Linked DNA regions of Arabidopsis thaliana. The protein of the gene in region 2 interacts with the protein of the main gene of each other region in a pairwise test. Each region holds a gene or a part of one and is shown on either strand. Other genes may lie near its edges. The genes, in order: SEOa and AT5G51570.

Region 1 (5,827 bases), on a different chromosome or scaffold from region 2:
AAGAATTTCTTAAGCTCAATGATATATCTTGGATAAGGCTAAAAAAAGCAATAAAAGAGTAACCAAGGATATATTTATCTAAAGACAATCACTTTTCTAAAAATAAGATTGTTATGCTTTGGGTTTATTCTATGCATGTTTTTTTTTTTTTCTATTAACTTTAGCATAACGTTTATAGGTAGGATTAAATTTGTTGTTTCTATACGCAACAAATTTTAATATCTCATCATTAGAAATACGTATAAGAGCTTCTTCGAAATCGAATCCGATATATGCAATATTTAAAAAGTATTTGATGGTTTGGAAGATTTAACTTTTACATTAACTACAGGCTAGGAACCGCTGATTTGTCGTTTAAAGTTGTATTCCCCCTTTGTAATACAGCAATCAGTCTCATGGTTTATTTTTTCAATAATGTAGACTAACACTTTTAACTTTCTATTAGATATATTACGATATGTGATTTGGACTCAAAAGACTGTTCATCTTTTGATTGATTGATCCATCCTTTTACTTTGCCTATATTTTACTAGCATTAAGTAATTTCATTTCAAAAGGCTAAATGTCAAAAGATATTACTGTCACATTAAAAAAATGTCACGGTCACTTGTGTTACTTGTGTATTAGTTCACTAGTGTTCTAGGAGCTTAAGGATCAAGAAATCAACAAAGAAGCAATGTTCAATCAGTTCATTGTTCTAGAAGCTTCCGATAAATAAACCTTTATTATTTCGAAATCTCAAACACACAAATTTTATTACAAAGACTCTCTGCTTTTAGTAGAGCAGAACAACAACAACAACATGAAGAGTAGAGAAACTCACAACAAGGAGGAAAAAAAAGACGCAAACTTATTTGGTTTTATAGGAACAAGTTGTTGGCTTCCAAATCAACTTGTTCCCCAGTATTATGGGATCTTACTCAAGGCAGCATTGGTACAAGTAATACTTTTCCATAGTCCTACGGCACTCGGTGCACTCAACCTCATTAGGTATAATTCCAGCAGTCTCAGGAAGCATGAACCTTGTGCAGTGATGTGGTGGGAGACGCATTAAGAGATGATCATTGAGCGCTGTAAGAAAACCCTTTGTGGGGATGTTGACTTCCCATTCGTTAAATTCAGCCAAACCCCTAGAAAACAAGTTCCCTTTGGCTCGAACCATCATGTCCGATGCTTTACTCACCAGTCCCCATCCATCTCCTTCTCCTCCATAACCTAACATAGCAACCACTTCTTGCAGAACAAGGTCCTTTTCCTCTTCTTTAAACCCTTCTCTCCCCTTGATTCCGTGGGCTTTCAGCATCCTCTGCTTCGATTCCCACATGCTCTCGACCCTGGTCCAGAAAAACCAGATCTGGAACAAGTCCGGCAAAGTATGGCTGAGATTTTCCTCCCGGATTGTGTTGATTATCGGCTGGATTCCATTCTTAGGGTTTCTTTTCCCGACATAAACCATCTCAAGTTGAATGTTTGCGGCCTTCGCTACATTACGCCAGAGACTCGTGAAGTTTTTGATCCATTGCATATCTTCTCCTCCGTAGAGACATATGTATTTTCCATCAACAAGCTGATAAAAAACATTTGAAACACACACAGATTTTCAGGTTACGTGTAACACAAGAGAAAGAAAAATTTATTAGTACTCTGTTTTTTTATTCAATCAAGAAACCTGGTTTAAGGAATGAGGATCAGTGCCATCAATCAAGAACTCAAGATTCCACTCCTGTTCGCTCCATAGATCACGTTCCCTTGCGGTGGTAAAAGGGTGAGCAAAGGGTTGCCAGATCCAGACCATAGGAAAGGCGTTGGTTGACATAACTTGACCTTTGGGATCAAGTGCAACGAGTATAGGCCTGTTCTTGAAACCCCACCATTCCCTCACAAACCTTATCGCGGCTCGTCTTAATTTCCGAGGCTCTCCAAGAACGTACCACCTCATGTTCATGTGAAGGGCCTCGAACTTGGCATCGTCAGCTTCTGTCCAGAAATCTTGAACTGGAACCCAAAGAATCTCGAATGACTGCTGCCATGCTTCTGTGTAGAGCGATTCCAGGATGTAGAGCTCTTTTTCGATGTTTTCTAGGTCTGATATCAGAAGCAGAACGTGCTTTTGGGTGAGCACGTTGATCCCGACCTGGTTAATGTTTGAAAACAGATCAGTCACTGACAAGAGACATATACAGATGCAGAGATATAAGGAGGTTTTACGCGTCTCTTTGAAACACCAGCTCCGTGGTAAAGAAAATCAATGGGTCTGAGAAGACGAAGTAGAGGAGGAACAACGTCGACGTGAATGATAGTAGTGAACGTCTGGATGAGTTCTTGATACTCTTCTTCGATTATACCTTCCTCTGTAACAGAGTAAAAAAAACAGAGCTTGAGAACAGAGGAATAAAAATACTCTTAAATATATAGAAACAGAGAGAGAGCTTAAAACGACGTCGTAGTTACCGATGGTCATTTTACTCTTCTTGAATTGTTCTAACAAGTAAGCATTGATCTTCCTAAGCCTTTCGCTATTCTCATGTATCTCCGAAACTTCCATAAACGACATGATTTGACTGAAAACATAGATGAGAAGCACATACTCAACTTACTCCTACTTGAAACCCTAGAAATCAGAAAGAAAAACAACTTACTCCTGCTTGAAACCACTGGCGCCACTGATGTGAGAAACACATATCAAAACACAGCGAACAATCCAGTAAACCGCAGTGGGGATATGGTCGGTAAACGCGGCTGTGATGTGGTTTGGCGGGAGTTGATAGATATCGATGATGGTAGTGGTGAGATCAACCATGTCTTGCATCAGAATTCGGGTCTTGTCGAGACGCTGGTGTAGAGCGTTCTGCCGGGAGAAGATGCTAGGGAGCTGTTTGATGAGAGCCAGAGATTTTGTGAGCTGATTTGTTGCGTGTGTCTCCGCGAGGAGGAGAAAAACGCCGTATTTCACGGCCAAAGCAGATAGGACAAGGACTAGCTTAGCATCCCAACGGTATTTGGAGACCAAAGACAGAACAGAGAACGTCGTCGTGTTGCGACTATCCAAATGAAGCCCTGATGTCATCATACCGTGAGACTCACCGCCATGGAGACACTTGCAGTCGATCTGTGTCAGAGACATTGATACTTAGATACTGACTCAAACGTTACTTAAAACAAGAAAGCTTCATATATACCTCGCAAGAGATTTGATCAATGAGATCCGCAAAAGTTTCAAAGGAGGTATGATCAGCGTAGTCCTTGAAGACGAGTGATGGCTGCAAAAAGTTTTAAATTTAATACGCTTGTAAAAATCAGTATTTGAAATGGGGATTAATTGTTGCACAAGTAAACTAAACCTTAGGAGCAGAGGAGTCAATGGATGGGACATGAGACTTGAAGATGTCATTAACAACGGAGAGAAGTGATGTGACATCAAAGAAGATCATGTCTGGACTGTGAGTCTTCAAGACTCTATCAGCCATGACTCGGTCATCAGAAAGTGAAAACATGGGTCTGCCATTTCTATGGAAAGCTTGTTTCTTTCCCGGACCAAATCTTCCACCGAGCGAATTGGGACCCAATGATTTCGGAACCATCGAATGTCGGATATTAGCATCAAGGATTTCCTCAGATGGATGAGGGTAATGTGCAGTCTTAGGGACAATGGAACCGAGATTCTCGCTATTATGATCCATCACCTTATTATGGTCCGCAGGAGCAGCAACATGGTGATCATCAGTATGACCCCCAAAGGGGTTGTCTTCGTGAGATCTCGGTGCTAAAGGACGCCTCTCGCCTGCGTTATCAGCCAGCCTCTGCTCGGCGGATCTTGGAATAAGGGAGACCCTTTTGAGAGGGTCGGCCGTTGGGAGGGTTTGTGAGTTCAATTGAAAGCGTTGGGCCATATTGGCGAGGTTGAGAGAAATATATGGTGAAGGATCTGATGTGTTGTGATGAATGATTGGGTTAGTATCCATGTGTGTGTATATATACTGGTGCAAAAGGTTAAATAAAGTGGCAACTTTGAATCAACTTCTTTGCTTCACCTTTGGTTCAATATCTGTTTTGGTGTCTTTTACACTTCCATACAGTTTTTCCCTTATCGATATTTCATAATTTTCATAATAATAAGAATTTCAGGTCTTGGATAATATTATTTCTAAATATGAAACGTCTCTAACGCAACTGCAACAGTCTAATACTAGTAGTGAGAAACATTTAATATTTCAAAGTTTATATACTGATGGTACAACGAGTTATCCTGATAAACATAACTAAATTTAGTATGTACATAGTAAAATAAGGGACTTCATAGCTATTTAAGAAGACACATGCATGGAACATAGATAGTGTACATATACAATGGATTTTTGTTTTAATATAAAAGACTTCCTTCTAATATATATACTGTTATTATAGAATCTAAACCATAAAGTAAGCAACTCGTGATACTCGTTTGAAGAGGGACAAGGCTACCTTGCTTGGATATTGTCCATGAATCTTCGAACAAAACGAATCACATACAATGCATGCTAATTGAAAACTATATATTAATTATATTTTCCAAAGTGTGTAATCTTTCTGTCAATTATTTCTTGTGTAATACAGGTTCTTCCAATTTGATTGAAATCTGTAATTTCATTCTCCACTTTTTAAAAATTTGTATTGTAAGTTTCTCCAGCTGGACTTGGTTGAGAGGTTTTTTCCTTTTCTTCAAAAACTTCCCATCCAATTCTTATACACTTTTTTTTATGTGCGTGTTACTCATAAATAGGTTTGAAATTTTTATAAGCAATGACAGCATTAAAAGGATCGGGCGTAGAAGCTAAACCGATAAAACCCATAAGCCGAGTCAAAACCGATATCTGAGCTCCAGGCTGTTGCCGGATGATCTCCGGCTGAGTAAACCCTTCAATAGACTGAAAGTACTGAACCACCAATTGGATCCGACTGTATTCGGTTCCATCACGCCAAACCCTAATTGCTTTCTCATAAAACATCCGGTTGCTAAAACTCACTATCAACACTCCTCCCGGTTTCAACACTCTATACACTTCTGCAAACACCTGCGGTTTATATAATAAAGACCCGGTTTAGGAATCTTCTTGACATAACCGAAATCGGTTTTGGTTTACGGTAACGTACCTTTTCGGGTTGTTGTAGATACTGTACACCAACAGAACACAAAACAGCGTCGAAATACTTGTCTTCGAACTCGAACTTCTGATCTTCATTAAGATCCTTGACGAAGAAGTAATCGAGTCTAGGGTTACGAGCAAGCTCCTGTGCGTTAAGACCATGCCCTACTACTTTCTCGTACTTCACTTCTTCTGGAAGATGGCTGACCCATGAGCTCATCAAGTCAAGTACAGTCGAACCGGGTCTCAACCGGTTTCTGTATAGTTCGGTTAAGGAGGATATGAAACTATCATCTACGTGGTTCACGAACCGTGGATATGAATAGAATTCACGGTCAGGATCGGCGTTTAGTTTGGTCCGACCTTCGTTGTTAAGTACTAACCTTTGGATCCTACCGGCCGAGGATGATGGTCGAGGATCGGTTTCATCGATTCGGTTTGATATGTTGGTGATTCTTGGTCGGAGAATTCTAGGTTTCAATTGAAATGGAGATTGTTGGAGGTTGAATCGAAGAGAATCCATAAGAAAAAAACTTTCGCTTTATCAAATTTCACAGAAGCGAAGAATCGTTTGTAGAAAAAGTGACAAAATTTATGTAAAAAGAAAGGAATGGATAACTGATGAGTGGTGTGATTATTTCTGCTCTTCCCTACTATTTATTTGGTATGTTTGCTTGTAGCCCAATTTCAGGCTAATGGGCTTC
Region 2 (4,939 bases):
ATACCAGAATCAGCTAATCTACGGTCACCTTGTAATGGAACAAACTGTAATACTCCTCCAAAATCTCACCAAGGTGCAATCCTTATTGGTTTGGTTGTCTCGACTATTGCATTGTCTGCTATTAGCATCCTCTTGTTCACGCATTATCGCAGACGCAAACAGAAGCTTTCAACCACTTATGAAATGTCGGACAACCGTCTCAACACCGTAGGAGGAGGTTTTAGGAAGAACAATGGTTCTCCATTGGCCAGTCTTGAATATACTAATGGTTGGGATCCACTTTCAGACAATAGGAATCTCAGTGTCTTTGCTCAAGAAGTTATCCAGAGCTTTCGATTCAATCTTGAAGAGGTTGAAACTGCTACACAGTATTTCTCAGAAGTGAATTTGCTTGGAAGAAGCAACTTCTCTGCGACTTACAAAGGAATCTTGAGAGATGGTTCTGCTGTAGCGATCAAACGGTTTAGTAAAACAAGTTGCAAATCTGAAGAACCTGAGTTCTTGAAAGGACTCAACATGTTGGCGTCTCTGAAACATGAAAACTTGTCAAAACTTAGAGGCTTCTGCTGTTCAAGAGGCCGTGGAGAATGTTTTCTCATCTATGATTTTGCTCCTAATGGAAATTTACTGAGCTATCTTGATCTCAAAGATGGTGATGCGCATGTTCTTGATTGGTCCACGAGAGTATCCATTGCTAAAGGCATCGCAAAAGGTATGAGTTTTATTTATGCCGAACCAATTTTGTTAGCGTTCTTGATTCATTTTTGTTTATGTGTTTGATGTTTTGTGTTTAGGGATTGCTTATCTACATTCATACAAAGGAAGCAAGCCAGCATTGGTTCACCAAAACATCTCAGCGGAGAAAGTTCTAATCGACCAGCGATACAGTCCTCTACTCTCAAACTCAGGCCTCCACACACTTCTCACAAACGACATTGTCTTCTCTGCACTCAAAGACAGTGCAGCAATGGGCTACCTCGCTCCAGAATACACCACAACCGGACGTTTCACCGAGAAAACCGATGTCTACGCTTTCGGGATTCTTGTGTTTCAGATAATCTCCGGGAAACAGAAGGTTAGGCATCTTGTTAAGCTTGGAACTGAAGCTTGTAGGTTCAATGATTACATAGATCCAAATCTTCAAGGAAGATTCTTTGAATATGAAGCCACAAAGCTAGCTAGAATCGCGTGGCTATGCACTCATGAATCTCCCATTGAAAGACCATCCGTGGAAGCTGTAGTTCATGAGCTAGGTAACTGTAGTAGCTGTCTCTGAGAACTCTCTCGAGGCAAATGTGTAATGTGTACCTTAGGAATCAATTAAGGAAGGGTTTGTTAGTCACCTTTTCCTGTGTTTAGGGTTAAGAAAAAGGTGCCTTTTCCCTTCCCATTAACGTTTAAAAACTGTTCAACGTGTTGTACTTTATTGGTTTGTATGATTTGTGTTTATGTTAAGCTCTTCAACCTTAGAAGAAGACAAGACAAGTACATTACTTTTAAAAAATTTCGGTAGATGGAAAATATTTATGGTACTTTGTCTTCTTTTTTTTTTATAACTTTCTGAACCAATTTATTGTCAATAATTCAATATAGAAAAAAAATAACGTATAACATTTTTTTTTCTGATATTGATCAAATCAATATCAAAAGAATTGATTTGTTAGATGGTTTTGATTTAGATTTGGATATGAGCTTTAACTTTTAAGTCTTTATTAGTCATCTAGATCTAGATACAAATTTATAAATATAAAGTCAAAGGTTAACTATTAGCATTGGCCACCAGATTCGAATAATTTACATGATTTTTCTAGACTTCAGGATTAGATTTTGGACCTAGTAAATTTTTAGAATTACTTGAGTTATTTGAAAGAAATAAATTAAATTATTAGTTGTCCACAAAAGACAGAAAAAAATATCAAATTATACTTTTCATTGGTCAAAAAAGGATTATACCAAATATCTAAGGAAGGAAGATATTGTTGATATAGCTAATTAATCAGTAACTAATCCTAACCGTCCATTTCTCCTCAAACCGCTTGATCTAACGGTAGCAAAAGGCTTCGATCACATAACACCATTTGTTTCCATAGAAACGAACGAGTCGTGGAGATTTATAAGCGAGACTTCTTCTTCTTCTTCTTCTTCTTCGAAAGCTTGAGAGTGCTGCGTAAAAATGGGTAATACGTATTGTATCTTAGGAGGTTGTATTGAACAAGCTAGCGTTGGTGTGGTCGAACGTTGGGGTCGATTCGAGCATATAGCTGAACCGGGATGTCATTTCTTCAACCCTCTCGCCGGTCAATGGCTCGCCGGAGTTCTCTCCACTAGGATCAAATCTCTTGATGTCAAAATTGAAACCAAAACTAAGGTTCGTGATCACTTATTCCTTTTGATCCTTTGCGAATTTTGGTTAATACTGTATGTGGTGAGATTCATGTAAATTAGGCTTATTGTCGTTGTTGTTTGTAGGATAATGTGTTTGTGCAGCTGGTTTGTTCGATTCAGTATCGTGTAGTGAAAGCTAGTGCTGATGATGCGTTTTATGAGCTTCAAAACCCTAAAGAGCAGATCCAAGCTTATGTCTTTGATGGTAATTTTTTTGCTTCTCTGTTGATGTTTTTTGTTTCTTTGTTTGAAGAAGCTCTGTTTTGATTCTTGATTTGTTCTTGTATGTTTGTTTTTTGAATCATAGTGGTTAGGGCTTTGGTCCCAATGATGACGCTTGATGCTCTTTTTGAACAAAAGGGTGAAGTTGCCAAGTCTGTTCTTGAGGAGCTTGAGAAGGTATAACATCTTGTTCCTTCACTATCTCATTCATTTGTATGTTTAGAGACTATTTATTCATAATAGGATATAAGATATCTGTTTTGAGATTCTTGATGTTTTGTAGTGATCCTGCATTTGTTGAGCTAACTAATAGGTGGATTATCAAGTAGGCATGTTTGGATTTCATAAAGAAAAGTTACAACGTTAAGTATATGTTTGGTTTTGTTCAAGACTATGTTTTCATTTGTGAGATTCTTGATGTTCTATCGTGATCCTGCATTTGAGATAACTAATGGGTGAATACTGAGTCTTGTGAAGTGTTATCATAGATATGTGTGGATTGCATAGAGAAAAGTAATAACATATATTCGAGGGTAGCCTGCTTTCGAGACTGGTGAAGACTTTTGTAATGGTCATGACTCATGATTGGAGTTGTTTGTTTCTTCAGGTGATGGGTGCTTATGGATACAGCATTGAGCACATTCTAATGGTTGACATTATTCCTGATCCCTCTGTACGCAAGGCAATGAACGAAATCAATGCAGGTAACCTTTATTTCCGATACTGAGGGAATCAGTGTCTGATACTTTTCAGGTCTCTAATGGTTCCCTACACATCAAAGCACAGAAAGATTTATACATTTTATGATTATAGGACTCAGTTAGATGTTTCGTTAAGAGTTTATGCGAAGTTAATTTACAGTTTGTTGACTTCATTTCAATTTTGCTTCTCAAATCCATTCTCTACTTAAATGCAGCACAAAGGCTCCAGCTCGCGAGTGTTTACAAAGGAGAAGCAGAGAAGATTCTCCAAGTGAAGAGAGCCGAAGCAGAAGCGGAAGCCAAGTACTTAGGTGGTGTCGGTGTGGCTAGACAAAGACAAGCAATCACAGACGGATTGAGGGAGAACATATTGAACTTTTCTGACAAAGTAGAAGGCACATCCGCCAAAGAAGTGATGGACTTGATCATGATCACACAGTACTTTGACACTATTAGAGACCTTGGAAACTCGTCAAAGAACACAACGGTGTTTCTCCCACACGGTCCGGGACATGTGAGGGACATCAGCGACCAGATACGCAACGGTATGATGGAGGCGGCCGCTAGTACTCAGGTCAACGACGTCTAGAGAGAGATTCACTTCGGCTTGTGAATTGAATTTGCTACTTTTGCTTTCACTTGACTATGGTTTAAATTATGTTTTACTAGAGTGAATTTGTTGGATTTTGCCTCTATTTTTTTTTCTTTTCTATAATGGTTTTCATGGTGATATTGTTATTATGGTATAGATAATAACCCAAAATACTTGGAACTCTTATGAAGAGGAACATGAGAAAGTTGAGACATATCTTTGTGTTCTTTTTTGTTGAGTCATATTCTCTTTCTTATACCACAAAAGCATGTAATAGTTGGTGATTTGGGGGGTCGTACCTTACACCACCATCGAAAGATTGGATCAAAGCTTGTACTCTTAAAGAAACCACACCGGGAAACACTCGTTGATCTCTAACCATTTTTCTGGATGTTAGTGTTAGTGTTTATATATTTTTAAGGATTAGAGTAGATTCTTTTTCATTAAATCTCAAACCTGTTCTTAAATTTTCAAATACTAGCATGTTTTAGCTTAAACCAGCTGCTTCTTTTGAGGTATAATGACCTTTTGTTTGCCTTAGAGTCTCTCCAACACAGCCATTTTCTCTTGATCATGACAACCATTTTCAAATATCTACGTTACATCAAATAGATCATTAATATTGTTTATAAGTTCACATCTTATTATAGAGGGCCTTTAGCAATGAATTACTTGATGTACTTAGGAGTCTTTCTTTTTTGTATAGGTTAAATGTTGATAACCCAATTTTTCATACAATATTATGTTTTCAAATTATATATATTTTTATATAAAAAAAACCCATAAGTTTTTGTTAAACATTTTATAAATGTAGCATGTCAACAAAACATCATTCTATAATTAACAATCATCTTGTGTAATGAACAATTGTAAATTCATTGTTGAAAGTTGAAACCTATGAATAAAAACAAAATTTATTCACAAATCACAAATGCTTTACTATTAGAGAGATCCTCTGTCCCTGTCAAAAGGTTTCATAGTCCAAGTATATATATATTTACAATGTAGAGTAATAAAATACTTGAATTAACAAAGACCC

What was found.
Region 1: the proteins of AT5G51570 (region 2) and SEOa interact in a two-hybrid assay, tested with the Arabidopsis thaliana proteins (one large-scale study listed by BioGRID).

The regions. Positions count from the first base shown.
Region 1 is NC_003074.8:245,351-251,177, reverse strand, and holds SEOa (sieve element occlusion protein), read right to left. Parts: upstream 3,987-5,827; 5' UTR 3,963-3,986; coding exon 3,342-3,962; intron 3,261-3,341; coding exon 3,180-3,260; intron 3,110-3,179; coding exon 2,640-3,109; intron 2,562-2,639; coding exon 2,452-2,561; intron 2,352-2,451; coding exon 2,209-2,351; intron 2,135-2,208; coding exon 1,670-2,134; intron 1,568-1,669; coding exon 917-1,567; 3' UTR 706-916; downstream 1-705. Other genes in the region: AT3G01660 (S-adenosyl-L-methionine-dependent methyltransferases superfamily protein), read right to left, coding at 4,746-5,051, 5,131-5,646. UniProt on the Arabidopsis thaliana protein: Scaffold protein required to form the phloem filament matrix in sieve elements.
Region 2 is NC_003076.8:20,947,338-20,952,276, forward strand, and holds AT5G51570 (SPFH/Band 7/PHB domain-containing membrane-associated protein family), read left to right. Parts: upstream 1-1,953; 5' UTR 1,954-2,173; coding exon 2,174-2,368; intron 2,369-2,469; coding exon 2,470-2,590; intron 2,591-2,692; coding exon 2,693-2,784; intron 2,785-3,214; coding exon 3,215-3,311; intron 3,312-3,523; coding exon 3,524-3,897; 3' UTR 3,898-4,175; downstream 4,176-4,939. Other genes in the region: AT5G51560 (Leucine-rich repeat protein kinase family protein), read left to right, coding at 1-712, 795-1,276.